Lonchura striata: one gene and its partner. The main gene of each other region encodes a partner of the protein of the gene in region 2 in a complex. Links are inferred from orthologs where the notes say so. Each region holds a gene or a part of one and is shown on either strand. Other genes may lie near its edges. The genes, in order: espin and MYO3B.

The links.
Region 1: the proteins of MYO3B (region 2) and espin are in contact, whole or in part, in a crystal structure (PDB 5ET1), measured with the Mus musculus proteins. The link is inferred for Lonchura striata from reciprocal best matches to the Homo sapiens genes MYO3B and ESPN. Residues at the interface, in XP_017174528.1 of Mus musculus: Arg1223, Arg1224, Gln1226, Gln1227, Pro1228, Lys1229, Met1230, Leu1231, Ser1232, Ser1233, Asp1236, Thr1237, Met1238, Tyr1239, Tyr1240, Asn1241, Gln1242, Leu1243; in NP_997570.1 of Mus musculus: Leu35, Ala37, His41, Arg45, Ala67, Asn69, Ala71, His75, Asp76, Ala79, Thr80, Asp101, Ser103, Leu110, Arg113, Phe114, Thr135, Thr137, Ala139, His143, Tyr144, Ala147, Thr169, Asn171, Tyr177, Leu178, Gln181, Ala203, Asp205, Met207.

The regions. Positions count from the first base shown.
Region 1 is NC_134626.1:4,188,191-4,204,143, reverse strand, and holds the start of espin, read right to left. Parts: upstream 9,026-15,953; coding exon 8,732-9,025; intron 7,889-8,731; coding exon 7,695-7,888; intron 5,475-7,694; coding exon 5,288-5,474; intron 5,192-5,287; coding exon 5,009-5,191; intron 4,927-5,008; coding exon 4,795-4,926; intron 4,694-4,794; coding exon 4,519-4,693; intron 4,429-4,518; coding exon 4,124-4,428; intron 2,573-4,123; coding exon 2,411-2,572; intron 2,334-2,410; coding exon 2,159-2,333; intron 1,873-2,158; coding exon 1,846-1,872; intron 653-1,845; coding exon 507-652; intron 419-506; coding exon 137-418; intron 94-136; coding exon of another isoform or gene 60-93; intron 1-59. Other genes in the region: espin-like protein, read right to left, coding at 60-93; ACOT7 (cytosolic acyl coenzyme A thioester hydrolase), read left to right, coding at 11,014-11,253, 11,676-11,832, 12,341-12,432, 12,567-12,681, 13,753-13,839, 14,515-14,631, 14,825-15,009, 15,795-15,899. UniProt on the Homo sapiens protein: Multifunctional actin-bundling protein. Plays a major role in regulating the organization, dimension, dynamics and signaling capacities of the actin filament-rich microvilli in the mechanosensory and chemosensory cells.
Region 2 is NC_134610.1:19,880,487-19,896,439, reverse strand, and holds the start of MYO3B (myosin-IIIb), read right to left. Parts: upstream 10,545-15,953; 5' UTR 10,513-10,544; coding exon 10,366-10,512; intron 8,935-10,365; coding exon 8,800-8,934; intron 5,337-8,799; coding exon 5,232-5,336; intron 4,966-5,231; coding exon 4,866-4,965; intron 1,325-4,865; coding exon 1,248-1,324; intron 1-1,247.

The DNA of each region.
Region 1 (15,953 bases), on a different chromosome or scaffold from region 2:
CCTGCATGCAGGTAGGGTGGTCCCCAGCCCAATTAGGAGCCAGAGGCAATGCCACGCACGCCGTCTCGCCGGGTCCTGAGCTGCTTGGGCCATGCCCGCGCTGCACTCGCCACCGCAGCGCGTGGGACCCCCCTACCTTGCGCCGCTGCTCCTCTTCCTCCTGCATGCGGAGCTGCAGCTTGCGAACCATCACCTGCCGCTTCCACTCGGGGATGGGCCGACCGTGCTCGTCCTGGCTGGGCACCAGCGCCTCCACCTCCACCGCTGCCCCAGCGCCTGCTGCTGGCACCGGTGAGCTTCCGTTCAGCACTGGCTCTGGTGAGCCCCCTGCCAGGCAGCGTGGTGGCCCAGCAGCCTCGGGGGTGGCCGGCGGGGTGGGCGTCCTGGTGGGTGACGGGGAGGACACTGGCGACTCTGCCTGTGGAAGGAGGGAGGGAGGGCAGTGGGCACTTGCCGTGCTGTGCTGTGTCGCGCCACCGGCTCCCCTGGCCCCCATCACCACCTACGTTGGCCCCTGCCTGGCCACTGCCGGAGAAGACAGTGGTGAAGCCTTTGCTTTGTGGCGTTGGCTTGAGGCTCTTCCCAGCTTTGATCTCGGCCAGCAGCTCCGAGTTGTCACCGGTGGGGGACATCATGTTGAAGGACTTGGTGCCTGAAGGGAGGCAGAAGGGCAGTAAGCACCCTGCCAGCACAATCTCCCTGCCCCTGTGAATTCCCCAGCAGCTTGCAGGGTAGGGGAGTGGAGGAGTGGCTGGCTGACTGCCCCCCTCCGTGCCTGCCAGGAGCCCCTGGAACACCCCTGAAGCAGCATCCAGACACCCGGCTCACCAGTCCACAGGAACAGCACATCACCGAACTCCTGGGTCCATCAGACCCCAGAGGAGTCACCCCCCAGAACTCAATAGCCTGGCACCCCAGCTCCACAGATCTCTAAGACCAGCACTCCAACAGCAGCTTACAGGGTCCACAGCACTCTGCTGCAGCAGCACCCCAGCACCCCGGCATTCAGCTGCAAGGGTCCCAGACTGGCCCCAGCCCCAACGCCACTCCATGCCCCCGAGGCACTATGTTGCAACAGAAGTGTGCCTCTGGAGGGATGGCTCCGTGGCCGGTGGCATCCCTGTCGCTGCAGGATGGCCCTTACATTCCCGACAGCTGTCGGCAGCGATGCACCGACAGCCTGAGCCAGACTCCCTGCCAGCCCGGTGCCCAAAGGGCTGCGTGGCACCGGCACCCCGGGGATGCTCTTCCCACTGCTCACGCCACCCGCCTCGCGAGCACCCACCGTCCGTGCCAGCCATGCGTGAGTCCCTAACGGCCCATGGTCCCGCGCCAAGGCAAAGCCCCCTGCCCGCGGCCGGCGCCCGCAGCTCGCTCCGCTCGGCTGCGCCACGCCGCAGCCAGAGGGCTGCGGGTGCTGAGGGCCCAGCGGGACGTGCGCGCTGCCATCCAGCGCCGGCTGAGACCCCCCGGTCCCGGGAGCCGGCGCTAATAAAGCGGGCGCCGAGCGGCGGCCAAGCCCGCCGGCCGCGGTCAGCGGCGGGGGAGCGGCCGGTGCGCTCACGTGGCGGGGTCACGCCGGCCGGCTGAGCGCGAACAAAGGGCCTCTGTGTGCGGGGCCGGGGGCCGCGGGGCCCGCTGCCCGCCCAGCCCCGCCAGCCCTGCCTCCGCCTCCGGCAGCCCCGCACCGGCGCTGGGCTCCCCGCGTGCCACCGCCGGCCGGCGACGCGCAGCGAGGGCGCCGCGGGCAGCGGACAGCCCCAGCGGCCGTCGGTGCCCCGTGGCTGCGGCACCCGCGCCAGGGCACCCCCTGAGCAGGGAGGAGCGTGGGGCCGCGGTACTTACTCTTCATCTGCCTGAGCGCCTTTCCTCCTAGGGAGAGAAGCAGAGAGGCGGCGCGGGGCGCGCGGCAGAGGAAGGATTTGGCCACCGCGAGACAAGAGAGAAGAGAAGCGGCCAGCAGTGAGAGCAGGCAGGGGCGAGCGGGCGTGGGGGCCCCCGCGCCGACACCGGAGGAGAGAAGGACAGAGAGGCTGTCAGGAGCCGCGCGGCCCGAGTGCCGCGGGAGGAGACGAGCCAAGGAGGTCAAAGCCACAGTGCAGCCAAGAGACAGTGCCCAGGATCACTCCCCGTGCCCACCCGGCACCCTGCCACTTACTTCCCGTAGACGAGGAGGAGCGGCGGGGGCCAGCGGGAGTCTCGGCGAGTGGGGGCGGCGGTGGGGGTGTCGGGCAGGAGGTGTCGGGCAGTGGTGGGGGCGGGGGTGGAGGCGGCAGCTCGGCACCAGACTTGCTCTCCCCATTGCTCATGGTGTCCGCCGAGATGGGTGATGCCTGAAAGGGAGCATGGGCAGGCGTTGCTCGGTGCCGGTGCCACCGAGCCGTGCACAGGCTCGCGGCGCGGGGCTCACCTCCTCGGTGTGCGCCATTCGCTGGGGGCCTGCCTGCTCGGCCACAACGTGCCCCAGGTGCTTGTAGTAGTCACCGGTGCTCGGCTGCTTGCCGAAATTCCTTGACCGCCTGCTGGAGTCGGCCCGGCGCAGGCCCTCGGGACTGCTGTCACGCGATGCCAGCTGCAATGGGGAGCCCACCTCAGCACTGCCGTGCCCGGCTATGACCGTGGTGCGGGGCTGTAGTGGAGTAGGACCGTGCCAGCGGTTTGCCCTGGGGCAGATGGAGAGCTGGGACGGACAACAGGTGCATGCCCTGGGGTCTGTTCGGCAAACGGCTCTGCCAGGGGCTGTGTGCCATGTTGGCAGCATGCAGCATCAGTGCCTGGCACTGTGACCCCATAGCCTGTGCCCAGGATCCTGTCCAAGCCTCCCCCGGGATAACCCCCTGGGAACAGGAGTGCCGAGCCCCAGCCCCGCGGATTACAGGAAGCTTATCCCGCGCGGGGCTGGGGCCCGGTTCCAAACCTCCCTCTGGACAGGGCGCTCAAGCAGCGCAGCCTCAGCTCACCCCGGCACATTCCACAGCGGCTTTGCGAGTTGTGCAGCCGAGTGCTGTGCTGCAGGGGGCTGTGCCTACTCCCTGGGTTTGGGCTGCCACCGTGGCATAGCCCTGCTCCCCTTGTTGGGGGCCCCTCTATTTGCATTTCCCCGTATGCCACCTCCACCCATGGCATTTTCATGGTGAGCTGGTGAGCCCGAGTGCTCACTGCCACCGCCAGCAGCTCCAGCTAAGTCAACAAACGTCAGCTTGGTGCTTCCTACTCCAGCTGCCATGGGAGTTGTGCCAAGCCTGGCTCCCACTCTAGCAGTCCCAGCTCTGGTTGGGCACAAGGGTCTGTGCTGCTGAGTCCCATTTCATAGGGCACCCGCACCACTGTGGCACCACTCTACCACACACCCACACCTCCCCAAGGCAGTCCATTACTCCAGTAAGCACTAAAGAGCCAAGGCTGTGCACAGCAAGCACTGTGAGGTCCTGAGCCCATCACATGCCTGGCACACACTGCCCTGCTGAGACACCCATCCCATGTGCCCTGTCCCCCAGAGCATTGAGCTCTGCCAGTGTCCTGACCATGCCCAGAATCCTGTCCCCAGTGAGGTGGTGCAAGTCATGGTAGGGGGTCAGGGTGGCCCCAAACCTACTGCATCTTTATGCCCCCCCAACCCGCCATGGAGGGCTGCACCCCTCTTACCTGTGCACGCCTGGCTGAGCCCTCTCAGCTCCTGGCAGCGCTGGTTGTGCCACCCGACACCTGTGGCGCGGGCGACACCGGAGCCGGCCGCTCGGGTTACTGCCTGCGCAGCTGCCCACGCCCAGCTCGGCATGGTGCCTGTGGTATGGCCGGGCCGCATGGGCGCGGCTGCCATGGCATGATGCTGCCAGGTGCCCCAGCCGGTGCAGCTGTGCAATGGGCCCACCCAGTGCCGTGGAGCTACCAGAGCATCACTGGCCTCAGATTGCTGCATCCTTGCTGCTGGTTGAGCCCTATCCCCCCCCAGTGCATGCCAGTGCCGCAGGCATGTGGCCTTCAGCTGGGACTGTCCCCTCCCAGTGCAGGCAACAACTGTTCAAATGGGGATGGGTGCCTGGTGGCGAGTCCCTCCCGAGTGGTATGTCCCTTGAGCTGTGTATGGGGCGTGGTGCAGGGGACATGGTGCATGGGGCCGTACCTCTCGGCGCAGCGCCTGGCTCTCCACATGCCGCAGGTTGTTCTTGGCCCGCACGTAGATGTCAGCGGTGTGGGGGGCAGCGGGGGGCGCAGGTGCAGGGTAGCCAGGGGGTGGCGGGGGTGGCCGGGTGGTTGGGGGTGGGGGTGGTGGTGGGGGGAAGGCAGGGGGTGGTGGCGGCGAGGGACCCTCGCCTGCTGGGCCCCGGCCCCGTGGCCGCATCTCGGGGTCCAGCATGTCCATGTACGCCTGCATGTCCGCCAACGCCGGCTCAGGCACCCCTGCGCAGGGCAGGGGGTCAGGGGGGGCTGGACCCGCACCCCCCGCCCCACGCCCCCTGGCCCCGCACTCACGGGCGGCGGGGGCCCCTGGGAGGCCACCCCTCTTCTCCCCGGTGCTGGACTGGCTGGAGTGGCAGGAGTCGTAGTTGGAGAGGGTGCTGGCAGGGGAGCCCACCTCGAAGCGCGCCTGGGGCACCGACGCCGTGGTGTTGGGCGATGACATGCCCGAGTCAGGCTGTCGGCATTCCCCATCCGCCGAGGGGTCTCGTGACAGCACGCGGTGCTCCACGCTCTGCTGGCACAGCCGTGGGGTCAGGCAGCAGGACAGGGGTGGTGAAGCTCTGTGTGTTCCCTGTGTGCTCCCCATGCCCTCATCCCTGGGCACCGCCGTACCATGTTCTCCACGGTGCGCAGGTACTGGGCGCAGTGGCTGTGGCCATTGTAGTCGGCGAGGTCAGCTGCTGTGTAGCCATCCTGGTCACGGATGCTGAGGTCGGCACCGTTCACCACCAGGATCTGGCAGCACTGGGGAGAGTGGGGGTGCATGGCAGGGCTGGAAGGAAGGGCCCCCTCTTGACCTGACACCCTGTTGGCCACCAGCACCCACCTCCAGCTCGCCATTCTCAGCAGCATCATGCAGTGGTGTGCCACCCCAGCCATCGGCAGTGATCTCCCCGCCATGCAGCAGCAGCCAGCTCAGCACCTTGGCATGGCCACGGCTGGCGGCGAAGTGCATGGCCGTGGCCCCCTCGGCGTCCCGCTCCGACAGGCTCACCGTCGTGAAGCTCATCTGTGTGGGCAGGCGGGCTGAGCACTGGGGCTCTGTGCCCTGTGCTGTGCCACCATGCTGTGCCACCACGCCGTGCCGTGTCTGGACAGCGCTTACCAGCCATACGATGACAGTGTTGTGGCCCATCTGGGCGGCGGCGTGCAGTGGGGTCATGCCGTCATAAGCACACGCGTGGGGGTCAGCCCCACAATCCTGCACCAGGTACTGGATGATCTCCAGGTGGCCTTCCTGGCAGGCGAGGTACAGCGGGGTAGCCCCCGTCTTGGTCTGGGCACTCAGCGTACTGCAAGTGGGGCACAGCGCCTGTCACATGTGGCCACTGCTACTGCCAGGGCTGGGATAGGGGGCAGGCAGGATACAGGGACATGGGGGTTTGTGAGACACAAGGAACGTGGGCAGGTACAGGGGAAACAGCTACGGGCAGGCAGGGCAGTGCCAGGGCTGGGAGCTGTCCACCCCATGGCTTCCCATAGGTCCCCGTGCTGCTGCAGTGGCTGCAGCTGCAGCGGGAGGTCACTAAGTTAATCAGCCTGCTTAGGCTAAGCTTCTTCCTCTGGCTGTTTTTGGACACTGCAATTTAGTCGTATTTTAAAGTAAGCTGCTTACACAGCACCAGCCGTGGAGCCAGCAGGGAAAGGCCAACTTGCACCATGGCAGTGCCTGGCACAGCTGCTGGGTGCTGGTGTCCCCTCACTGCTCCAAAAGGCCTTGGCATCCTTGTGTCTCTTGTCCTGAACTGTGTATCTCAAACTGTGCAGCCCAAATCCTGAATCCCACATCTTTTACCCCACATCCCCCATAGACCCATATTCTGCATCCCACATCCCGCATCCTGCCTCCCGACCCCACAGGAAGCTGTTTTATTAAGTGCTCCATAAAAAAACCCTGTTGAATATTTAAAAAAGGAAGAGCAATAAATACTCTGCTCTCTTATCGCAACGATCGCAGGCCCTAAATAATTGATCCCTGTAACTGTGAGACGGGCTGTGGCCAGCACTCCCTTCCCTCTGTGCCTTGTGTGCCGTGCCACTGAGTGCCTGCCCCGCGGTCCAGGAGTGCCAGGTGGGCACAGCCCTGCGTGCTCCCCAAGCAGGGGCTGGGGAGCTGGAGACAGCGGGAGCACAGGCACTGGGTCAGTCCCTGATTCCCATTTCTCAGTAATTGGGAAGGGGTTAAGCCACTTGGGCACCACCAGTAAACTGCTTTGCCAGATGGCTGAGACCCCATGCTGGGCCACCGGCTGCCGGGGGGGCCCCGCGGGCCGATGCGAAGGTGGGCTGGGAGAGCCAGCATCCCGCAGCGGCACCAGGGATTGGATTTCCCCGCTGTAACGGAGCCTCCGGGCAGGCGCGGGGCTGGGAGCAGGGCCAGCCCTAAATAATTCAGGGGGAAGGCGGTGACAGCAGCGGAACAACCCCGGCAAGCAGCGTGAAAGGCAATGCGAAGCCGTGCCACACCTGGGCTGACACAGTGGGCATCGAGCAGGAGCAGTGACTGGTTTGGGGCTGGGTTTAGGCTGCAGGGGTTAATCCCAGAAGTGCTCAGGGCTAAGCTGGCACACCTGGGGCAAGGAGATAAAGAACTGGGGCTGGGACAGCTCTGGCCAGTAAGTGCCATGGGATCCAGGGATCTCTGTGGCCCTGCCTGGAGAAAAAGATGCAGGGCTCGAGTGTTGTGGCACCCAGAGACAGAGGGATGCTGAGTGTTGGTTCACATCCCGCTGCCTCAGGACTCCCTGGATGTGGGAGAGCTGTGCAATCCGTCTCATCCACAACCCTGGAGCCTTCCAGGGACAATGTGGAGCAACAGCGCATCCCCCCGGCTCCGCTTTGGCCGGGTCTGTGGGTTATTTCTAGTTATTTCTAGTGGCCTCTGCCCACCACAGGAAATCGGATTAGCGGCCACCTAATCACCTGCTGCAGCCTCGTGGCGAGGCCCGGCATCGCGGGCCCTGTGGACTGCTATGCCACGTAACCCAGGGACCAGCCCGGCTCCGGGTACCGCTCGGGAGGAAAAGCGGGGATGCTGCCGCCGCGGAGCCGTCTGAGAGAGGCTGCCATGTCCAGCAATGCCCACGGACCTGGGCAAGCGGAAAGGTCGTCTCCGGCGCGGGGAGCAGCCTCTCCTCGGCGGTCAGCCTAATCCATTTACATAACAGAGGGCGGACAAAGGCGGCTGTGTTATCGCCCCGCGCCAGGAGCCGACTCAGCGGCCAGTGACAATATTTCTGCCAGCGCTCGCCCCTCTCCTCCTCTCCCTTTCTTTCTGGGCCATAAAGAAGGTATAGCTGGCCGCCCAGCCTGATAACGTGGCAGCGTTGCCCTTGGAGCTAGGGGATCAGGGTGGCTGCAGCATTCGTCCCCAGTGCTGGCACTTTGCCCAGTGGCTGGAGGGAAGGTTGGGGCCACAGCAGGCACCCTGTTCTCCTACTAGTCCCTCTCCTGCTGGTGGGTGCCAAGCTTCCGGCAGACCCTGTCTCGCTGCCAGCAGCTGGGACCGTTACCTGGGGCAGTGTCCCAAAAGGAGTCGCAGGGAAGGGAAATCCCCTTTCACCGCGGCGTAGTGGACGGGCAGTGCTCCCGTGTTGGTGGCTGCCGTGGGGTCGCTGCCTCCAAAGCGGAGGAGCCAGTCGATCACCTCATGGTGACCGAAGCGGGCTGCCAGGTGTAGGATGGTGGCACCAGAGTTGTCTGTGTCCTGCAAGAGGAAGTGGGACGGCCGTCAGTACTAGGGACCAAGCCCTTCCGGCAAGGGGGCTGGGGACAGCAGGCAGCCGTGGGGCATTCCCCAGCCCGGAGCTGATTCCAGGCGGGTGGGGCGGCCAGGGTGGAGTTCCTGTCCGTACGGAGCGGGGCTGGAGCAGGAGCACAGGGCATTGGAGCGACCGTGGGACCAACGTGTCTGCCCTCCGTCAAGGGCCTGCGTCCGCACACAGTGAGTGCAGCACAATGCCCTCCTTGTTCTACCGGCCGCCGAGCCCCTAACTGCGGGAACTTGCCGCCGAGCCCCTAACTGCGGGAACTTGCCGCCGAGCCCCGCTGTGCCGCCGGCCCGTCCACCCTCCACGCTCGGTGGGGCGCGGGTAGCGCTGGCCCCTGGCCAGGAGGTCGCCGATGCGCGCTGACCCCTTCCTTCCCGATTAATCTCCGCTCCCAGCCCCGCCGCCGCCTCCTCTTCCTTCGGCCGTCACATGTCTTTAACTCCGGGCCGGCCCCGGGGCAAGCCGCTTACCGCCGCGGTCCCGCCGTTGTGTAACCCCCGGAGGGCGCGGCAGCCCCGGGGAATATGTGCTGCCCTCGCAGCCGAACCCCTGCGGGATGCCGGGGACTCTCCGGGTCCGTCGGATGCCGGCCGCTATGCACGGCGGAGCCCTGCCCGTGCCGGCTAGGACGGACCCCGGCTCGCCGTCGGCAGAGCTGGAAGCACCACGCGTGACCGTCTCCCCGCGGCCACAGCCACCCACACGGGACCGCGGAACGCCTCCCCGGCCGCCCGCGCCACCGAGGGACCCTCCGCCGCCCCCCGCGACCCCGCTCGCACCTGCACGCCGCAGCCCCCCTGCGTGAGCAGCCACTGGAGACAGGCGAGGTTGCCGGTGGCGGCGGCGTCGTGGGCCGGCGTGGCCCCGTTTCGCGCCCGCGCGTCCCCGCGGAGCGCGGCCTCGGCCGCCAGGTACCGGAGGCAGGCGAGGCGACCGGCGCGGGCAGCGTGGTGCGCGGGGGACGCGCCCAGGGCGTCCCGCAGCCCCGGCCGCAGTAGCCCGGCCGCCCGCAGCCCCCGCAGCGCCTCCACGTCGCCCTGTCGCGCCGCCTGCAGCGCCCGCTCCAGCGCCATCCCGGCGGCGGCCCCGGCCCCAGCGGCCCCGGCGGCGGCCCCGGCGGCCCCGGCCGCCGCTTGGCACTGTGCGGCGCTCCCGCCCCGCCGCCCCCCGGCCCCGCCGGCTCCTCCTCTCCCTCCCCCGGGGCCGCCCCTCCGCCCGCCCCGCCCGACGGCGCGGCGATTGACCGCTGCTCGGGACCCCCGCACCGCTGCCCCCGGCCTCCGCTGGTGCAGCCGCGCTTTGCCGAATGGCGGACGGGACCAGGACCGGGACAGGTGCAAGTCCGGGTTGACCCCAAGGCGGACCGTTCGCGGCTGCCGGCGCCGCTGTCCGCGGCCTTGTGTAGCGGCCCCACGGGTGTCCCCTCCCGCCGCCCGCCCAGGCAAGAGGTGCGGCAGAGATGGGCTCCTCCGGCACCCTCGACGTGCGCTGCCGGCCCTAGCAGCGCAGGCAGAACGGGGGGCGCTGGGCGGGCGGCTGCCCCGCCTCAGCCGGCCGCGGGGTGCCGACAACCGGTCACGGTCCGCTTTGGTATCCACCTGGTCTTGCACCGGTCCTTGTCCCGGCCGCCACTCAGAAAAGTAGTTTTATGAATCGCTGGCTGGGCAGCGGGCGGCGTGGGAGGACACGGGTGGGGAGACCCTCCGTCAGGACCGCGGACAGCGGAGGTGCTTCTCGATCAGCACCGAGGACAAGGCAAGGCCGCCCTGCCCGCCTCCTTCGCTGCCTGTCCCCCGCCCTCCCTGCCCGGCTCTCCCGCCCTGCTCCGCCGAGCTGTGCAAAGTGAGAGCTCCAGCATTTCCGGCCCGCCGCGCCCACGGGCGGCTCCGTCCGCCCGCAGGCTCTCCGGTCCCTCCCGGAGACGCGCTGCCGCGCTCGCACTACCGAGAACCGAGAGATCGCGGTCGGCGAGGCCGTGAGTGCCGCGGCTCCCGGCACTCCGCGTCCCCCGGGCGGGATCCTGAACGCCCTCCGGACCCTGCGTGCGCTCCACTGCGAGCTGTCACTGCCTGCCTGGGACTGCCGCCACCACCCGACCCAAAACCCCGGGGCGCCCACGGGAACTGTTACAACCGGAGAGAGCCGACGGCGCCGGGAACGCGGGTGGTGGGGGGCGGTGCTGCCCCTGCCGACCCGAAGCCCCTGGCTCCGCACGAGTCCCGGAGCTGACAGGGCACTCCTGGGCGCGGCGGGGAGACCCCAGTCCCGGTGGGGACACACGACTCCGCGGGCAGCCCCGGAGCCGCCCGGCGCCCCGGCTGCCCGCGGTGCCGGCGCTCCTCCCCGCGCGCTGTCCGCCAATGGCGCGGCCAGCGGGGCGTGCCCGGGGCGCGGCGGGGCGCGGCCAAGCGCGGCGGTGCCGCAGCGCCGCTGCGGGCGGGGCACCGGTGCCGCCATGTCGGAGCCGGGGGCCGCGGGCCCTAGCCCGGCCGCCATCCAGGTGTCCAGGTACGGCCCCGCCGCGGCCGAGGGCTCGGACAGGGCTGGGTAGGGAGGCGGGCGTGCTGGGGGCCGCGGGCGGGTGCCGGTCTGCAACCGAGATACTGCCCGCCCTGCTGCCGACATCGGCGGCACCGCCCGGTTTAGTCATGCTGTCAGTGACACCGGCCGCGGGCAGAGCGCAGCAGCGCCGCGCCCGTGCTCCGTGCTGCGGGGGCTGGGAGCGAGCAGGGCTGCCGTGTTCTCCCGGGCGCGGTTCTCCCGCCGGTGTCCCCACGGCTCCCGGGCACCGCCGCCCTGAAACAGCAGCTCCTGTCCGGGCCAGCGTTCAGCCGCTGCCTCAGTGCCCCCCGGGCCGTTATTCGCCGTTGGCAGAAAGCGCGGCTGCTGCCAGGAAGCCGCGTGGAGCACCGGCACGTGGCCGGCTCGGTCTGTGCCGCACCGGGGCCCGGCGGGGTGCGGCCCTGGTGAGACGCCGGCTGCCCTGGCAGAGGCGTCCTGCTTCCTTCCGCTCCCAGCAGTTAATTTGGAGGTGTTTCCTTCGCCGCTCACAGGAAACCGCATGCGAGCAGCGATGGCCCGGCAGCTCAGCCGGTGGGCGATATGCTGCCTCCGAGCAGCCACACCGGGGCTGGGCTGGGGGCGCGTCAGGGGTTGTGAGCTCTCATCTGCCTCCTTCGGTAGGATTATGCGCCCAGACGATGCCAACATCGCGGGGAATGTCCACGGGGGAACCATCCTGAAGATGATCGAGGAGGCAGGAGCCATCATCAGCACCCGTCACTGCAATTCCCAGGCCGGGGTGAGTAGGTGCCGGTGTGCCTGCCAGCCTCTGGCATGGTGACCTTTCACTCTCTGCTGTGTCTCAGGGCAGCAGGATTCTTACACTGGACATGTTTGCTCTTGAATGGAAACCACTGGCGTCTCTGGAGCTGGGGCAGGGTCCCAGTAGCTAGAAGCATTCTGCTGAAATTGTGGTTTACCAGCAGAACCATTATTACTCATTATTGCTGTTAATGATTTAACTCCCGAGAAAGGCAAGTTGGGGCAACCCTGGTGTTGGTTACAGATGGGGAAGGAAGCGCGGCCAGTGGCTGATAAGGTGGCGGTTGCAGTATCCGAGCCACACATGCCTGGCATGTTTGGCTGGTCTCAGGGAGCTGCCAGCTGTGGTCCCGCGTGGTGTGGCTGTGATCACTGTGTTGGCTGTCTCACCATCCCCAGGAGCCCTGTGTGGCTGCACTGGCACGGGTGGAGCGGACGGACTTCCTCTCGCCCATGTGCATCGGCGAGGTGGCCAACGTCAGTGCTGAGATCACCTACACCTCCCGGCACTCTGTGGAGGTTCAGGTCAACGTCATGTCTGAAAACATTTTAACAGGTGGGTGGCTGCTGGTGGCTGTGTCCCAGAACACCAGGAGTAACAGTGTTAAGCCAAGAGCTTGCAGCAGTGACCCCATCCTCTGTTCCATCACTGGCAGGATGTGGCAGAGAGGAGATCTAGTGTGTTTATTGACAGAGCTGGGAGTGGAGGGAGGGCTGGTGCTGGGGAGGCAGGCCAAGCAGGCTCCCTGGGATTTATGGCTCCATTGTAGTGAAAAACAGCAAAATCTGTTTGTAGCTCTTCCTGCCTGATTTGCTGCCTGTGGCTGCCTTTGGCCTGAAAAAGTCCCTTTTGCTGCTGTTGCTGTGACAACCAGTTCTGCTTGCTGGGACACCTTCCCAAAAGCGCATTGTCACATCCGCTAAGAGCTAAAACCTGGTAGGAGCCAGCAGGGCAAGGGGCCACAATGCCAGTGGCATTGCCAGTGTGTGCCCAACCCCAGACCGGTGGCAGGTGCAGCGCTGCTGGCCTTGGCACCATCACCTGTTGCCCCTTCTCCTCTCAGGGGCAAAGAAGGTGACGAATAAGGCGACACTGTGGTATGTGCCGCTGTCCCTGAAGAACGTGAATAAGGTCCTTGAGGTTCCCCCCATCCAGGTAGGACAGCTCACTTGGGTCCCCCTGAACTGGAGTTCGTCCTCCCTGTGGAATGACACTAACCTGGCCCTGCTGGCACTCCCAGCTGTGCCAGTGGCTTTGCCAATCCCCTTCTTACTAGCCTTCTATTCCAGTATGCGAGAAAGGAGCAGGAGGATGAGGGGAAGAAGCGTTATGAGGAGCAAAAGCTGGATCGTCTGGAAACGAAGCAGAGAAATGGTGATGTGATTTTACCTGTCATCAACCCAGGTAACACAGGCAGTGTGGAGCCAGTGCAAATTTCCCAGCAGTACTGGGAGACCAAACTGGTCTCCAGGGCAACTCTGGCCATCCCCAGGGCCCTGTAGCTGCAAGTGTGCATTCTGAAACACCACACCAGGGATGGGGATGGGATTTTGGAGTAGCAGTGTGTGAGTGGAGGGGGAGCTGAGTGGATACCTGTGGTACCCTGAATGTGGATACCCATGGATGAGATCCCCTCTCCAAAACCCTGTTCCTATATCACTCCTTGTGTGCTTGTGTGCAGCTAGAGCTGATTTTGCTCAGCAAGGCATAAATGCAAGTGCTGGGCAAGGGTGGCCTCTAGGCCTAGCTGTGGTCTTCCGGCAGAAGTGGAGAGGTGGCACATGAGGGATGTTGGGGGAGGTGATGGGGAATGAAAATTGCTCAAACGCTTTTTTCTTCTCTGTCCTCCCTGCTCACAGACAGGCAGACAAAAGGTAAGGTTCAGTGGGCACTGCTCCATGGGTGGTCACCCTGCGTGGGACTGGGCTGCTTTTCCTTTCTCTAAGCTTCTTTAACATCTCTCATTAGATAGAAAACACAGCCACTTCTGAGAGAGGATTTCCTCTGCTGAGAGTTTGAGGGTGTGACTTCTGTCACCTGGAGGTTGTGGTGGGACAGGGGTCACCAGGATGTGCCAGGGCTGGGGGCATGGGGGTGAAGGTCTTCTCACCAAGGGGAAAACAGGGGCTCTCTGCAGCAGGGTCTGGGTGGTTCAGCTGAGGGCAGAAGCAGACAGCCGTGTAACCCAGTTCACTCCTGTTTGCTTTCATGCTCTTTGAAAGCTTGAAAAGAAAGAAAAAAGCTGAGCTAGAATAAAGTGGATGGGTGGAGATTAGAGGGAGGCAGCAGCCCGTCAGGTGGTGAACAGTCTATGCTCTTAGAACTTCTCCAGCCTGATTTAACCACTGCTTTCAACATAGTTCAGCTTTGCACAAGCCAGCCCCATGTCTTCTTCCTTTGGACAACTTAAGACAGTGGTGTATGGTGTATGAGTGCCAGCTGAGTAGCTCTCACCTTGCTTTGCTCTCTAACCAGAGCCACACACTGTTGGCTACAGCCAGTCCAGCCTGATCCATCTGGTGGGCCCGTCAGACTGCACGCTGCTGGGCTTTGTGCATGGAGGTGAGTGAGCACTGCCCTGCACAGCACCTGGTTGCAGGTTTGCATGGCTTTTCCCTGGAGCAAAGTGTGGTGACTCTGTTTTTGGTGGGCTCTGCCTGTGGAGGCACACAGGCCCCTTTGCATTGACTGCCAGGGTCAGAGTTGCTTTAGCTGAGACAAAAGCTTCGTCTTTTTCTGTGCCCTAAAAACTCATGTACTGAAACTGTAAATCCTACAGTTTTGTCATTGCCTCTGAGATTGCAAATCCTGTAGTACAAACACGCAGCGTGTGACTGCAATTACCTGAAGTAACTTTCTCTTAGCTGGCACGTGTAGTGTAAGCCCTGGGAGAGGTGTGTTTGCTGAGGGTTGGGACAACACACACCTAAGCCTTAAACAAAACAAATATTGCTCAGAGCAGTTTCAAGGTTGGTGGGACTGATCTCACCTTACAAAGGTGAGGTTTGCTCAGAGAAATTTGGGAGAGACAGAGCTGACCTTAATCACATGTCTGTGAGCAGGTTGCCCTGGTATTGACAGGAGCCATTGTACTGGATTTTCCTGAAGTTGGGACTTGTCTCTGGTCCAGCTCCCCTGCATAGCTTTGGCCATGCTAAGGCCTTACTGACCTTGGTGTGGTTTTCCTGAAATCCCACTGACTTCCTTGAGACAGGACCCTCTTGCTTCCCCTCACAGGTGTCACTATGAAGCTCATGGATGAAGTTGCTGGGATTGTGGCTGCCCGCCACTGCAAAACCAACATTGTCACTGCCTCGGTGGATGCCATCAACTTCCATGAGAAGATCAAAAAAGGTACCAAGGGTAGTGGCAGTCACTGTGATCTCCTCTGTTGCCACACCCTGGCTCCCTTGGATGTGCTTTCAGGACATGCTGGCAGAGAAAATTAGTCCATGTTTGATTAGTCCCTGCTCCGCTTAAGACACAGCTTAAGCATAAAACATGCAGGGCCCCTTGCTCCCTTCACTGGCTCCTCTCTGTTTCACAGGCTGCGTCATCACTGTCTCAGGACGTATGACATTCACAAGCAATAAATCCATGGAAATAGAGGTCTTTGTGGATGCTGACCCCTTTGTGGATGAGCCTCGGGAGCGGTACCGTGCCGTCAGCGCCTTCTTCACCTATGTGTCCCTGAGCAAGGAGGGGAAGCCCCTGCCTGTCCCACAGCTGCTGGTAAGAGCTTTTCTCTCTCAATTGGACCCAGCAGGGCCATCACCTCTTCTGCTCCTCCTGGGGCAGAGCCCAGCCCAAGAATCCTCTTCCCTTGAGTTACTCAGCAGAAAAATATGAGCATGAATGAGACTTCTAGGACAGGCTTCAGGGGGTTTTTGCTTGTTTTGTTTTTGTTTTGGGGTGTTTTGTTTTTGTTTTGATTTGACATTGTTTTGTTTTGAAATTGGTATGTTTGGTTTTGTTTTGGTTTTGGTTTGATGTTTTTGTTGTTCTGATTTGTCATGTTTTTGTTTTAGTTTGAAATTGATTGTTTTTGTTTTGTTTTGATGTTGTTTTTGTTTTTATTTATGTTGCTTTTGTTTTGCATTTGTTTTGTTTTTGTTTTTATTTTTTAAATTGCTAGTGTGAAGGTTGAGGATTTTCTTCTTTCTCATTGCTGAGGACAGGCTGCATGCAGGCCCTGCCCTAGGGGACCCTGAGTGGCAACAGAGGCCTCCACGTCCCTAATTGCTGCTCCCCGTGATGTCCCCATTCCATCTTCCTCCCTATATTATCTCCCCTAATGCTGGCAGGGCTTTGCTGACGTACTGCTCCTGACTGGGGGGGTGTTGCTTAATATTGGATTTGGCACTGGTCTCCTGCTTAATGCAGGGCACTGGCTGTCATGTTGTGTGTTTGACAGAGGGCAGCTTTTCCCTCACACTTCTGTGAGGGGAGGTGTTTCCCTCCCGCACACACTCGCAGCACACTGATGCTGCAGCTCTACACTCTTTCTGTGACCTCAGACAGAGACAGAGGACGAGAAGCGTCGCTTCGAGGAAGGGAAGGGCAGGTACCTGCAGACCAAAGCCAAGCGGCAGGCGCAGATGCAGCAGGCTGCCCAGCAGTGACCTGCCTGGCACCCTTGCCACCAGCGCCCACCAAACATACAGGTTGTTCCCGTT
Region 2 (15,953 bases):
ATTACTGCCCTTGATGGCAATTATTCAAGCAAAACAGTACCATAAAAATAACCTTTTATAATCCATGTTCAATAAAATCTTTCATGTTATGTCCATTATTATCTAGAGAAGTATAGAGGTCTGAATTTAGAAATATCTCCAATCAAGGTGATTCCAAAAATAATGCTTTTACTGTGGTTTCTAAGGTATCTTGTGTCTCCTTTGTGATGTAAACTGGTTGTTATGGAGATGGTGAAATATCAACCATTCTTTGTGAGACTGAGCAAGATCAATTTTAGACTCCTTACAGCAGCGTAGTTTCTCTGTTCAGCTATAATCAGCCTTCCTTAGCAACAAAAATACATGCATAAAGATTATGTAATGTTTTAAAACAAATGTTTGCACAATACTTTTAACTCTTCAACCTACAGAAATAGATCTGTGTGCATTTGTAATAGATAAATTCCATCCCTAATTCCCCAAAACTCATATGGCCTTTAACAGAAAAGAGGCTTATACTGTTAAAAGGCTGAACAACTTACAAACAGACAATTCTTGTTTCAATCCTTGTTTTTAAATTTCATAATTCATATTTTTCAGAAGTACTTTGTGTTCCTTAAAGCAGGGAGTGCAAAGAGTCATATCATTCAGCCCATAGTCTGGTAAAGCACAAACCTTTGTTCAACAGTGTGTTAAAACTTTTTAGAGCTTCATGAAACAGAAGGCAAAGGATTACGTCTGGATAGCAGTACGTAAAATTATGTAAGATACTTCAAAATGAGCTAAGCTACCTGTATATTATTTTTATCAATTTTTAAATCTATACTAGCCCATGTGTCTAAGCTTAAATGTCCCCAGTTAATGATTAATGACACATAGGTCAGTTCAGGGTTTTGCAGTGTGCAAGACTATAGCAAGACTGGAAAAAAGGAATTCCTCCTTCTCCCCGTATTCTGTATTTACATCATGGATGAGCACCCCAAAACATACAATATTTGACTGGAAAGTCATAGCATTCTTAGGACCCTCAGTTATTTGTAGATTTGCTGCAATTTTATAGAAACACTACAGAGAAGAAAATAATGATTATTAGAAATCCATTTTGTATACTCTAATAGTATATTACTTTTACTGAACAGAGGACAAGTTGTAAAGCAGAAACACAGCCATAACGGTGGCAAGAAAAGATCTCTTCCTACTATGGGGAAGTGGCAACAAAGTGCGTATTGCTATGAATGGAGACAAGCCAGACAGGCCCATTTGCCTACCTCAGGTGCCATCCAAAAGGGTGTTCCCACTGAGGTGTTTCTACGAAGCCGTGTGCTGGTAAGCTGGGCTGAAACACCTGCAACAAAACAGATCAAAGAAACTTGGCTTCAAATTCATTGTCATTTTGGTAACTTTATTTCAAGTATCTGGAAAACAAACCCCAAACCTGTGAGCACAGCTGAAGAGTGCCTGGCCAAAGTAGGTGCAAATTATTTGTTTGATTGATTTCAGCTTGCTGTTTTCTTCAGAGTTTCTCAGAGATTTTTTTTTTTTTTTTGGTGAATGACTCGCAGTTTGAAGCACTTTTATTCAAACTCAAAAATTCCATTGTCACATAAATATCCCAGATTTCTTTCTGCTGTTTTTGTAAGTATAAATAGGAATGACTAAAATTACAACTTGACTTTAAATTTCTGTTTCAGAAATGTACTGCTGGAACATCACAGGCCAGGAATTCGCTCACTAGCATACTTGCAGATGCCCCTGTTCAACAAAACACACACCTGCTTATATCCCTAATGAGAAAAGCTCAGAAGCTCAAGCTCACACTGCAGCTTGTACTTAGGGAATTAAACACATACTTAAAACAAAACATTAGCTTCAGAGCTTTGCTGACTGGCGTTGGACTACTGAGGCACAACTGAAAAAAAAAACCCAAAAGAATGAACTAGAGTGCAATCAAACAATGTTAACAAATCACAATGAACTTTGACAGCAAATCTTCTGTGCTCTGGTCAACATATAATTGAATAAGTTCAGTTCAGTAGCCTTCCAATGAGGTGACACAAAGCCAATATTGACTTAGAAATATATTTTGCTTTAATATTTTTTAAACACAAAAGCCACAGTGGTTTGCTCTTTTGGCATTACCCAGACACAAAAATGAGCAGAAATACGTATAATGCACATTTACTGCTGCCAATAAATAAAAAAAATTATTTATTGGCAGCAGAGATTCATAAGTTAAAATAGTTTGATTTCTGATTCCAACATTCAATTTTATATTTGTTTTAAATTTTTCAGTGTAATTGCAAGCCTTCAGTGATTTTGCGAGTCATGCTGGGAAACAGTTAATGGCTAGGACATACAAGAAGTCTCTGTTCGTTTCACTGTGATCTCTCTTCAGCCACCCTAATTCACAGCTGCTATCTAGGGATATTCCAAAACAGTACAGAACACTGAAGAGCTGAGAGAGGGTGGGCATGAGCATAAATGAATAAGTTGCCGACATTTTAGGTCAATTTACTGTGGCCATCATTTATTCAAATATATTATGCTGTTGACAGCAGTTGAGGGAAGAAATCTGTGTTATGTTGAAAAAACAAGCTGTAAAGTCATCCAGTAAAGAAAAGCCTCAATTAAAGGTATCTGTGTAACCCTCTCTGTGACCTAATATCCATATGTACAACCTTGAATATGAAATAGCTTTTTTAAAATCAAGATTCTGCCTCATTCTCTCGACTGAATGGATAACATTCACCGAATAGGTCACAATTTAATATTTTTAACCCCACTGATTTGAATTCTCATTTCTTATTTAGTATATCCAATCCTATACGAAATTCAAAATTATTTTCTTTTTCTTTTGACATATTTCCTTCCCCACACACCAAGAAACAAATCTACTTTACATTCCCACAAAATGGCAGAGGATTATTAGTTCCAGGGATTAACCTAAAAATATCCAAAGCATCCAGTGTGTTTGGGTACTTAATCTGAGATCTTTCAGTTGTCAGGCACTCCATAAGCCTCAAGTACAGCTACAATGGATCTCAGCTGCCGTTCAAGAGCACACAGTTCTGCAAAGCAGGACAAGATGTTTCAGACTGGCTATAGGGAAAATGAGGAACTGAGTTTGATGTAAGTGACCCTCCAGCATCACAGATAAACACAAGCAGAAGCAAGAATAATCTCCAATTTTATGTCATTCAACTCCCTCAACTGGAGTCCCTTCTCTTCCTGAATTCCTTGCAATTTCACTATCTGCCTTCTATTTTCTGCAAAAAAAAAAGGAGACAAAACAGTTCTACAAACAATATCACCTGTGACTCAGTCCCAAATCATTCCCAGAGACCATTCTGTGGCTATAGCAGTGGACTTAGGTAAAATAGCAACTTAATAAAAGCTTGGTGCCTGATACTTCTTTAGACAGAAAGCCCATAGATATATGGGTATTTTTTGGCATTTCCTGACTGTTAAGCAGCAGGGAACACTTAAGATTTAAGTCTCTTTTTTTTTCCTGAGCCTGTCATATTTGTTGTGATTTTCTAGTGCTACTGTTACAAAGTAACAAAAGTTACAAAGTAAGTAAAACCCCTGAAACCTAAATATGGAATCAGAGAGACCCAAGGGACACCAGAAAGATTGAAGTCTCAGTTTCCTTGAATGTGTCACTTGGGGTTGGAGCACACTGGTCTGTCTTAGAGGCCTTTAATACATCTGATAAAAACATTACGCTTTGGGGAGAAAAGCCAACTTTTCCCCTAATGGAGTAAAAACACAGATCAGACTGCCAAAACTCCCCCAAATGAGAAGGGATCTTCCTCTCTTCTATTAGGTCAGCGACTCACTCCAAGTTTTGTTTCAGGTGTATTTTAATTGCTGCCTTTACAATTCAAAATAATGAAATTTTGTCCCTAGAAGATACTAAGGAATCTCTTATGCAACAACTTACTTTAGCATCTTCAATACATATGTGTATTAAATTTATAATACCATAATATCACCAATATACAATTTTCTTTCCACTGCATACATGTAATAATTTAAGGTTTTTAAAAAATATTTGCAGATTTTTTTTACGTATTCTACCTACTCTCATTTTGTGAACATTTTTATTTACCTTCATGCACTACTAAACAAACATATCATTCATACACTATTTTCAGATGATTACCTTACACATTATATGGTTTCATTAATAAATCATATTACTAATGATCTGTTTCTGTTACTTTTAATAAATTGTCCACTGCCTTGCATACGTATATGAGGGACAAAAGCATTTTTTTTCTACTGCATGTTCAAAGGAATAAAATTTGAACTGACTTTAAACCTATTGCCAAGTGCCATTCTACTATCCTCCCTCTCTTTCTCTCTCTTGTTTCTTATGACATATCCAGACTGGCAATGCCCAAGTCTAAGAGCAATAATCACAAATTAAATGGATGTTGAGTTTTGGACCCAAGGGACTATTTTACCTTCTGCTCAGAGAGGAAAAAATATGCTTAAGGCTATCAAAAGCCATCTCAGAAAGAATGTTTCCTTTTCATATGCAAAAGACAGAATATCTGAATTTAAATTAGGAGGACAACTGCCCTGAAACTGACATTTCTTCTGAAATGCAAAAGAGCTTTGTAAATAAAATGCTAGGTTGAGAATTTTAATAATTATTGAATTAAGTTTAAGCTTTTGAAAATTAAAACTCTACTACTGATTTCAAGTTAGAATTTTTATTCTTGCTGTAATCAGATTCCTTTTGCATTTTTCCTTCTTAAAATAAGTCTGAGTATGCTTCTGAAAAAGTCTCACCGTGGCATTCTGCCTTCCCAGGGGAAAGTAAACAGAGCCTTTGGCTAAACTGCATATCAAGAAAACAAAGGGGAAGTGGTCATTACCAAAATCAACGAGCTTGACTCCACCTTCTGTTGTCAGGAGAATGTTGTTCCCTTTCACATCACGATGAATGATCCGGTTATTGTGTAAATGCTGAAGGCCCTATATACCAGCAGTAACAAAACAAAAATAAGTTTATTCCCTTATTTAAAAACAATTACCCTGCTATTAGTGAATGTAATGAGGAAAATCTGCAAACTCTACAGAAACAGCTGTCCACCAGATTATATACCTTTATACAACCCCTGCTGTTATAACAGACCATCTAATATTGTTCACATTACCTCACTCTATAAATGGAAAATGAGTGTATGCAATAAGTGAATTGCACCCTCTGCTGTCATTCCAAGCCTAATGAACATCCTTACCAAGAGAGCACCATACAAGATGTATGAGATGATAGCTTCATCCAATCTTCGGCCACACTTCAGCAGGCCTTTGACAAGCTCTGTGACAGAACCTCCATTGCACAGCTGGAAAGGGGGAGTTGTGCAGAGGGAAAAAAAGCAAGACAAGTTCTCAGTTACTCAATATACTTGTTTGGGCTATAAACACCTACCATGCAAAACTGTGCTACAACACATGTCTGGAACAACAGACCTCATTTTATTGGCAATGCTAATATAAATCACAGCAGCCTGAGTAAAGGGAGAGAAGAGAAAACTGAAAATTATAAAATGTAACAAAAAAGATAAAAATAATATGAACAGGACTGCATTTCAGTGTTAAAAGAGGATTCATAAATCCAATTTACATTATTTGAGTATTTTCACAATACACGCATTGTCTTTTTGAAAAAAAAATCCTTCTATGCATAGCCCAGACAGAAAAGATTGATGCTCTTGATAACTGGGAAGCAACAAATTAGTCATTTTAAACTTTCACTTCATCAGTGCTCCTGATGGCATGCAATATAAAATAGACAGAAGCCATATCTCTATACTCAGATTTGATGCCATATACTGTCAACAGCAGAAAAACATTCTAATCCAGAGAAGCAGCTTCTTGCAACCATTTGCATCTTGAAAGATTTGCATCTTTCAAATGGCTTTTATGAAAAACTGTGTATCAATTCAACCACTGATTTCTGTTATATGCCAATACTTGCCTTATTACTAACTTCTCCTTGCATCAAAAAAAATTGCACTAGACTAGAAATTTGAGTTAATGGAAAAGGACCTTGAAGCAAAATTTAATCATTTAAAGCATTGATAAGTTCTGTAGGAATTTGACTTTATTTTTTAATTTGTTAGCAGGGAATATTTTTCTTATCTTTCATAAATTTGTAGGAGCATTCAGGTCAATATCAATTATCAAATGTATTTACATGGAACTACAAGTTTTTCTTCCCATGGTTAACCATTTGCTGACAAGACTAAGCTAAAGTTTTCTTTGTATTGCTTTCATAGCATGAAATGTTCTGTTTGGACAGACTATACTAAATCTATCTCTAGCCCACAGATAAAATATTTTAAAGTATGCCTTAAGTCAAAAAAAAAAAAACCCAAGCTGGTTGCAACTGAAAAATAATACAGACTGACAGCTGTTTGGTAGGATATGGTAAATGAATGCCTGACTCAAAAATATATCCCACAAACACTACTGCAGCTCTCTGTGATGCTATTCTTGAAACTCAGCAAAGACCTCGAACAAAATGAATTTGGAATCTTCATTACCACCTTTTACCCAATGGTAATACTTTAATAGTTGGAGAGATGTACATTTATACGAAAAAGTTGAGAAGTTTGCTTTACAGTTTTCCAAGACTTGCATGATCATAAAAATACTTAAGGCGTTCACTTTTGCCACCCTTCCTCATCACAAGCATTTATCAAAGTAAGGTCCTGTTTGTAGTGAGTAAACATGGCAAAACTATGCCTAAAGGGAAAAAAAAGCCCACCTTTTTATTACAAATTTTGGAAGTCACACATCAAATACATGTATTTCATCAAAGACTCAGGGATGAAAGTCTGAATACTTTGTATATTCCCTTTTACTGAAAATGAGTAATTAATTTATAATATCACAAGTTACTGCTATGCATGCATAAATCTATAAATTGCTGTAAATTCCAAGGCAAGGAATACTTTGGGTTGTCCAATAAATTTTTCCATATATTGAAATTTTTAATTGTATCAAATTTCTTCCAAACTTTGGATTATGTGCACCAAAAGCCATTTGAAATGCACATACTTAATTGATAAAGTACATACACATACATCTTTGCTGCATCCCTGCCCCAGACCACTGTCCCAGATATCCTCAGCCCCGGCTAGCTCTCCTGTGGGGTTTTGGAGAGTGTTTAGTGGGTTCTGGGGTCACTGCTGATTCCAACGGTGAATAGACGAGGAGAGGCACTTGTTGGGGCAAAAAAACTCCGCTGTTTACTGAGATCCTGCGGACCCAACAGCAAGCAAAGGAGGCCAGCCAACAAGAACAACTGAGAGCTGCTGGCAACATGTTATATAGGGAGAGGGAGGGGAACCGATCAGCCAGTGGGGAAACACAAAGAGTGTCTCTTGTGGGGATTGACATGTGTGGGATCCAGTGAGGGATGGACAGGGGCGGGGCCCAGGCCCTCATCCAATCACTCGGATGGAAGCTTCCAGAGGTAGGGAAGGGACACCGAGTGACGGACAAGGCACCTGGAGGGGACGGGACACCGAGTGACGGACAAGGCACCTGGAGGGGACAGGGGAATGACTCAACATGGTCTGGGATGACTGACACACGAGGGAAGGCGGGAAACTCAGGGAGAAACCAATACAGTATGGGAGTACACTGGAACAAACCATGACAGAATGAAAACGTAATAAAACATATAAAAACGCAATTCCACACATCTTATTCAAATTCTACATTCAGTTTTATTTCAGAGTATATGATGACTTTGTTCCATAAAATTCTCTCATTTGGCACTTAATGAATCTTTAAAGACAAGACTCTATTAAAAAAGCACAGAGGAAACCAAGCCCAAACTCAACACAAAGACAGCATGCATACAAAAAAACCAACACCAAATCAAAAATACTAAGGTCACTTTTCAGCAGTTACTGAACTTTGAGAGGAAATACATTTAAAAGTTATCATTCAAGCTACATACTGCTCCAGTACATCTAAGTTAGATGTTCTCTTGGGATTCCAGAACTTGTAGTGGAAATAAAGACTCCCTATTCTGATTCTAGTCATCATTCAAGAATGGGGAGTTCAATTTTTAAAACAATCAATAATTAAAAAGTTAATCCTAGCTTTTACCATTCTAGTTATGAAAGAAATGAATGCTTGAATGATTTGTTACTGCTCATCAGAGCAGTAACTGCCTGTGCAGAGTTCTGCATCAATTAAGCCTAGAAAGAAATCCTCATTTTACAACCACCTTTGGCAGTCACTTAACTTTGGTGGAAACAAGACCACCAAAATACATTTGACATTGTAAGAGTACTGATTGGCACTGAACAAGAAAAGTGAATAGAAGGCATTTCTGTTGCTAGGTTTCCAACAACAAGCAGCCTCTAGTTTAAAATTACTATAAAGCAGACTTTCCCATTACACTTTCTCCGTTCACTTTTGCAGTAAGCAGCTTATTTGTTAACTGCCCTCCATGCCACTACTTCATTATCTTTTGCCTTCCCCTCAAATGCTTGAGTTCTCCAAAAAGTTTAAATAAATGTCTTATCTAATGTTTCCTCTAACAAGAAAAAAAAATTAAAAAGAGCTGCTTATTTCGGAGGCAGAATGTAGCAATTCAAACAGAAATTAAATGCAAGATCATTTCCTATCAAACAAATTTTGAAGTTTGGATGTGATTTTCAACAGCAGGCTACAACATATCATCTATCAGAAAATCATGAAAGCCTGTGACTTTTTTAGCAATAACAAACAAATATCCAACCACATATGCTAAGGTAAGATGTAATATTGTCAAAATGTTTTTACCTCAAGTACTAGCCAGAGCTGTCCTCCCACATATTGATCTGCTTTGTAAAACATCCCATAAAATCTAACAACGTTAGGATGATTGGGAAGAAACTGCAAAATATTATATTCAGCTTCAATTTCTTCATCTACATCCTAAGTAAAAAACACAAACATACAGAACATATAAAGACAGTGACTCTAAATAAAGCAAGAACAAACTCTCACAGATAAAAAGAACTAATTTTTTCTTTGTTTGTACTTTTAAATAGTTTTATTTTAATGCAGCTGAAAGCACAATATACTGGACATTTAATGCATATAGAATTGTCCCACTTGTGCTCTTCTTACACACAGAAAAGCGAAACCTGTGTAAATCACACAGTTGTTCTTCAAGAATTCTTTCAGTACACAATATACATAACAAGAAAATTAAAAATTATACTTAACTCTGCTCTGTTGTCTAAGTGAGAAATTTAACCTGTTTTATCTGTTTTAAATCATGCATGTTTTTAACATGTGAGCTAATGTAAACACATGAACCTTTGACTTATTCCTTTTTCTATGGTCACCAGATAGGACTAAACAGAGAACCATTTCACTAAGTCTCAAAGGGGCCATCAATAAAACCAAATACATTCTTGTGACCAAATATATACATCAGAAAGAATGAAAGACAAAACAATCACCTGTGAAAATAAGAAAAGGTTACTAGGTATTTGTTAATGAAAGAATTCTGTGACAATTACAGAATAATGTTTATACCAGCACACAGACCACAACTCAGAACAGTGCTTAAGTGCTCAAACTTTCCTCATTTCTGCACAGACTTGGCTATTAGAAAATTTAAGCCTGTGCCTTCTTCAGATCCATCCATACAAGAGAAAACCATTATTAATTTCAGTAGTCATTGATGACAAAAAAATAACATTTTTTAGTAAATATTTTAGCCCAGCTGTCATAATCAAATTCCAGCTTGATCCAGCCTGAACCAGTAAAATTTTCCATTGAAAACTAGGGCCTTGGTTCTCATGGGAAGCTAGGCATTTAATATCCACTAAAACCAGAGCTGGCACGGAACTACCTCTGAGGATCTGGGATGCGCGCTTCTCTTTTTATCTTAATTATTGCCTCACATTTTTATCTGCTTATAAAAAGTAACTCTAAAATATCCTAAAATTCACAGTGTTTATATGATGGGAAAAGTAATTATTTAGGGAGTACACAGAATAAAAAAAGAACGTTACGTTTAACAGCATCTTGTATTTTCCCTGCTACAGCAGGGCCTATGAGGAATGCCTCTGTGCCTTCTCATAATTTGCATGCTCCAAGCAAAGATAACTGAATTTGTAGCAGAAGAATTACATAGACCTAAAACAGAAACTAGGCAAACACTGTCCTCAAATAAGATGATGAAATTCTAAGTTGTCATTCAGTTGCTGGTACTTAACCCCTTCTCTAAATGCATTCTGTAAAATTGCTTCCTTCTGGATGTTCTCAATATCTTACACATTTGATTTACATTTCAACTCCAAGAATTCTTTTAAATTAGCATTGAAGTTACAGTTTAAGATTTTTTTTACTTACACTGACAGGATCCAGAATCTTTACTGCTGCCAAGCTTCCATCTTTCTTATTAGCAACCTTATAGACTTTACCATAAGTGCCTTTCCCAATAGTCTCTATAATTTCCCAGGTATCTGAGGGATCAGCTAATGATTCTAGTCCAATCATACTGGAATTATATTGAAACAATCCATACAATGGCTTCCTGGAAAATAAAGCAGATACGCATACAGTGGGAAGCCCTAAGTAACTTGGTACTAAAGAAGGCATTTTATGATAAAGAAATCAAATATTGTCCTAATTAAAGAAGAAATACAGATGGACTCACAAAAGAAAACCAGACAGGAATGTAAGATCACTCGATGGAAAGAAAACACTGGAGACTGCTTCTCTTTCCTTACTTTAGTGTATTATTTGCTTCAAACATTGTCCGATACACAGCACCATTCCAAACACATTTTAACAAGTTCTGACAAAACCTACCCCTCCCTCTACTGCACACTCTTTTAACAGACATTTTACACAAATAAATTAACACAGCTCATAAGTGTGGTCTTATTTCTGGTTTTAAAAACATGTATCAGGGTTTTCCCATAAATTTGTGTAATCCTCCCTGCAGATTGCCAGACAGGCATTCATTAGGTATAGCCTCATTATATCTGATACATATACAACAGGCCTACATACAGCTAACAAAAGTTAAGACTGGGCTGGTTGGCATCAAAATACAAGCCAACTTGAAAATGAGCAACAGGTACATCACTGGGGTGGGTGATCTATCACTGTTGGGTTGTTTCTCAACAACTGCACTTGGCTCTCTCTCTGCATGCCAGCCAAAGTGTGTTATGGTCTGTCACACTGGCTGAACACCTCCCGAAGATCTTCATGTGAGGGGACTTGCTTCCCCAGACACTCCTGAATGGATCCTGCAGCAAACAGACCATTGCAGCCTATGCACAGGGTTCCTTTTCACTCTGAAATTACATACATGGTAAATTCTGGTGATTAGGAAAATGACAATACCATTTTAGGATTTCATTTTTTGCTCATTTGGTGGCTCTCAGTAGGTATATTAGCTATCTGTATGCTTAACCAGGAGATGTAAAGTCCAAATGTGTGATCACAGGAGTGTGATTGTTACAAAGGCAATTGAAGACAACACCATCATTTGACTGCAAAAGTTCCCAATTTTTGGAGATGGATCAACAAGTACCTCAAACATACATTTACACTTTAAGGTTTGAGCCATTTCTTTTTAAGCACACCTGACAGTTGCAGATATAATAATTTTAAAAACTTGCTGTCTTACCTCTTTACCATTTCTAACATCAGTGATAACCAGAGAAAACCTTTATTTCCCTCCTTGGTAAACCTGTATTTGCACCAAAGCTGGTACCAAATAATGTATGAAATTGCTTTGGTCTCTTCACCAAAAGAAGGAAAAAAAAAAAAAAAAAAGATGGGAATGAGTTAAAAAAAAAAAAAGTCAGAGTCAATATAATTTATGTGCTACAATAATGTAAGTTATTAGGACACTTCTTCAATACTTGATCCAATCCAGCATGCTGCAAATAAAGAACAGTATGCTGAACACATAAACTTAGTACATCAACAGAGAAGGAGGTGAGGTGAAAGACTTCTGTGAAATCAATGAACAAAGTGTACTACATGCACTGAAACAGCAGCTACAGATATGGAACTCCTGATAAGCCAACCTCAAGAACAAGGTTTGCAGGGTGGGTGTGGTGGAGAATACAAACATGGGAACAGTTGCACCTCACAACAAAAAACAACACAACAACGTATTGAACATGTGGTTTTAATGGTTTAAGTAAAATGCTAGAGATACTCATGGGTAAAGAAAGAGAGGAGAATAGTCTGGAAATAGCTTTGATACAACCTTACAAGGAAAACGACAGATTGACATTAAGTTCTCTGTCACTATAACAACTACCCTATCACACAGATTTGCCAGAAAATTATGCATAGCACTCTTTGTACCAACACAATATTATGATGTGTCCTTCCTAAGCAACTGTTGTGGATAAATACATTTTTTTTCTTAAAAAAAAAAAATCCGATGCCATTGCCTGCTCTTGTACTGAAAATTATAACCCTTAAAATGGTATATCCAAACATTTAATTTACGAACATTTCACTTCAAACATTGCATTTACATTTACATTTCTTTGTACCAGAAGACAATGTTGGCAAAATAAAATGTAATGAAAAATTTTTACAGATGGAGTCATGACGGATGACTGGGAAAAAAAAAAACTTTTGTGAGCATTTCTGTGCATTGTGATAACATGGCAACATTTACAGATGGCATATTTATACATTACATGGAATCAGAGATGTGAAATTTGTACCATAAACCTCTTCTGTTTAAACCAAAACAAACTCCTCTTGAAGTCAAGTAATGCCTATCGAAATAAGGTTCTACACCTGTCATCAGTGAAAGTACCTTTTGCATCTATGACATCATTACATTCCTACAACATAAGTCATTATTTTACAGTTCAAAATAGCAAAAGAACAGTATCTGCTATATCTTCAATAATGTAAAATCTGGACTTAAAAAACCTGAAACCACCACAAAATGTAAATATTATGGGGAATGGCTGAAGTTGTGAACTAAGTTTGTGTCTTTCTTTTTCTATTTCCTGATTTGTTAAGCTTCAGAAATTAAAACATCCTTGTTTTAACAAAGGCTTTTAATTTATACAGTGAAAAGTTATGTATGAACCCAACCACTTCTGCAACAACCACACATTCAGAAGATCTTAACACTAAAATACTGCAGCTGAATTTTACTTAGGAAGAAACTTCTCCTTTTACTCCCCTCATGTAAGGCCTCACACATCTCTGGGCCTTGAAATGATGCACAGAGAGTGGCTTCTAGCTGTAAAAACTTAGCAGAGCTCTCCCCAGAAGAAGCCTCAACATATTAGAGACCTACCAATTATAAATATTTCTGCCATCAGTTGGAGAAAACTTCTTAGTGGTTAAATTTGTTTCTTGTAGGCAAGCAAAACAGACAACACCAGATGCTGAAAAATTACACTTTGGCAATTAACTCTACTGGCTAGGGAACACATTACAGAAAGCTATTTGGGACTGCACATATTTATGCAATTAGAGGCATGACTACATGCCATCATCATACCCCTAGCACTCTACCCTGTTTTGTGTACTTGGGAAAAGACAGAATGAAAGCACAAGGCCAACTGATGGTGTCTAATCAAGCTGCTCTGAGGCTGGAATAGGGACAAAGAGCATGATAGTTTCCTCTAAGAGATAGTAACTTAAATCTTGAAAAAGCTGACCAACCAAGACAAATAATACGATAAGACAAATATTTATTCAGAGGCTTCAGCCACTGACACAGTTTCTTTCCTTTATCCACAAAAAGAAATATTCCCCATCAAAGTAAATTTCATTATTCTCTCATAATACCTGACTTCTTCTATTTTGTAAACTTTTACTGTCAGGACAAATTAAATCCGAGGGATGATAGACTAACTTAAATGGCAGTCAGACAAATGTGCAAGCAATATTTTTATACTTTGAAAGAAAATATGTCTCTCAAAATCATCATTAGAATCAATGACTGCATATTATCATCCCTTAACAGTATCCCCAGGATAAACAGACTACATGTATTATGTATGTCATATAAGATATCATAAAAGAAGTATAGGTTACAGACAGTGCACAAATCACTTTTCCATCTGTGAACCACAGCCTTTTGACTGTTTTCCATGGCTCTAAACAGTCTCACAAAAGCCATGTGGAAAAATACCTGGTGTCCCAGAAGTTCTACTGTGATACTCACCTAGGTTGTGAAAACAAAACAAAAAAATCCAAACTCATATAGAACATGCAGATATTGCTAATGAAATAATTACAAATGGAATAAAATCAGCAGCTTTTCCTCACAAATTTATTATCTCTCTTCCTCAATTATTATCTATCAATTTTTATCTCTCTTCCCTAATTTATTAGCTCTCTTCCTCAAAAATTATTGGAAGAAAAGGGACTCATAAGCCAGAGAAACAGATTTACAATTATTGTTCTATTTTCACTACCACCTCACTCAACTCCTACACAACAGTGATTCCCTTCTGCATTCCAAAATGCACCCTCTTCTACCTTACAGCAAGATGCATTGTCTGTAGAGATTTTAGAATTAGAGTCTCACTTCAGCCTGGTGCTTTCTAACAATACCCATTACTAACCAGTTTTGAGTTCTCTTATAGCTGGTAGGGACATGATAGCAATACCAGCCCATACCAATGAAAGTAGTGAAAATACTGCTTCCATACAAATAATCCATTAACAAAGCTCCTTTCTGCAATGCTCCATTTGTCTTAGCCCTCTTGTCTGTCTTGTGAAACAGCTGGCTTATGCACTTCTGGCATTTACAAACACTGTGGAAGAGTAAGAATGAAGTATTCAAAAGTAAGGTAGTTCACTATTTGTAGAGAACTCCATATTGGTTCCACACTAAATTTAACTCTTTGGTAGAAGAATTCAGAAGGTAAAATTGACGTTATCAGCTATGGCCTCACCTAGCCATGACAAACCCTATTCTGCTGGCTAGTAGTGGTCACAGACAGCTACCTCAGAAGCAACAGAAGCAATTGTTAGAGGAATTAATGAACCAATAAAAGGCACAAGAAAATCAATAGTCAGAACAGCATCCTCTGCTACTCTCCTCCGCTATTTCTCACTGGCCAGGTTAAAACAAAGAGAATGTCAATATCTTGAAATGAAGCATACCAAAAAAATCTATCAAGACACCATCCTGTAACTGTTCTCAGTTGGACCCAGAGAGAGAGAGACTGCAGAACTGCAGAATGTGCTGTGGATAGTTTTTTTGAGATAAAAGTTAGCGATGGAAGAAGATGAAGGAGAAGGATAAAAGCATGTTCAAAAGCTATTATTGATGCTATAACACTTACAAACAAAAAAAGAGCCATACTTTAGCTGATCACATATTTTCACTAGGCAAACATAAGGGACAAAACAAGACAACCAGAACAGAACTGGTTGTTTATTTATAGATGAAAGGTAGATCCCTGAGAACACGCTAAATAAATTCAGTTCACAGAACAAGTCTTACTTGAATATACAAGCCATGAAATTAACTCTGGGTGTTCAAATTGGAAACAGAAAGAACATTAAGTGGGAAACATGTTCTCTCTTTCCACATAGTCGTCTAACCTAAAGTTTTTATTATTTGTGCTTACGTACACTCTCTTTGTCTCCATGAAGTTCTTTAAATTCAGGAGTATCTTCATTATTTTCTTTTATTTTGGTTCCTTTATATGGATGGACTAGATACTCTAGGCTTTTAGACTTACATTATTAGCCACAGGGCCAGAGCTGAGTGATAACCAGTGGCAATGGATTGTGTCTGGATGCCAGCTCTGATGAAAGCATTGTGATTATTTGCTCTCTTGTCTTGTCTATGTTTCCAGTTCATCACAGTATGAATCACAACTACATTCCCAGTATCAACCATAATAACCTGACTACAAAACCAGCTACTGACCATCATGGCACAGAAATCTAAATGTCACCTAGTTCTCTAGAAATAATGA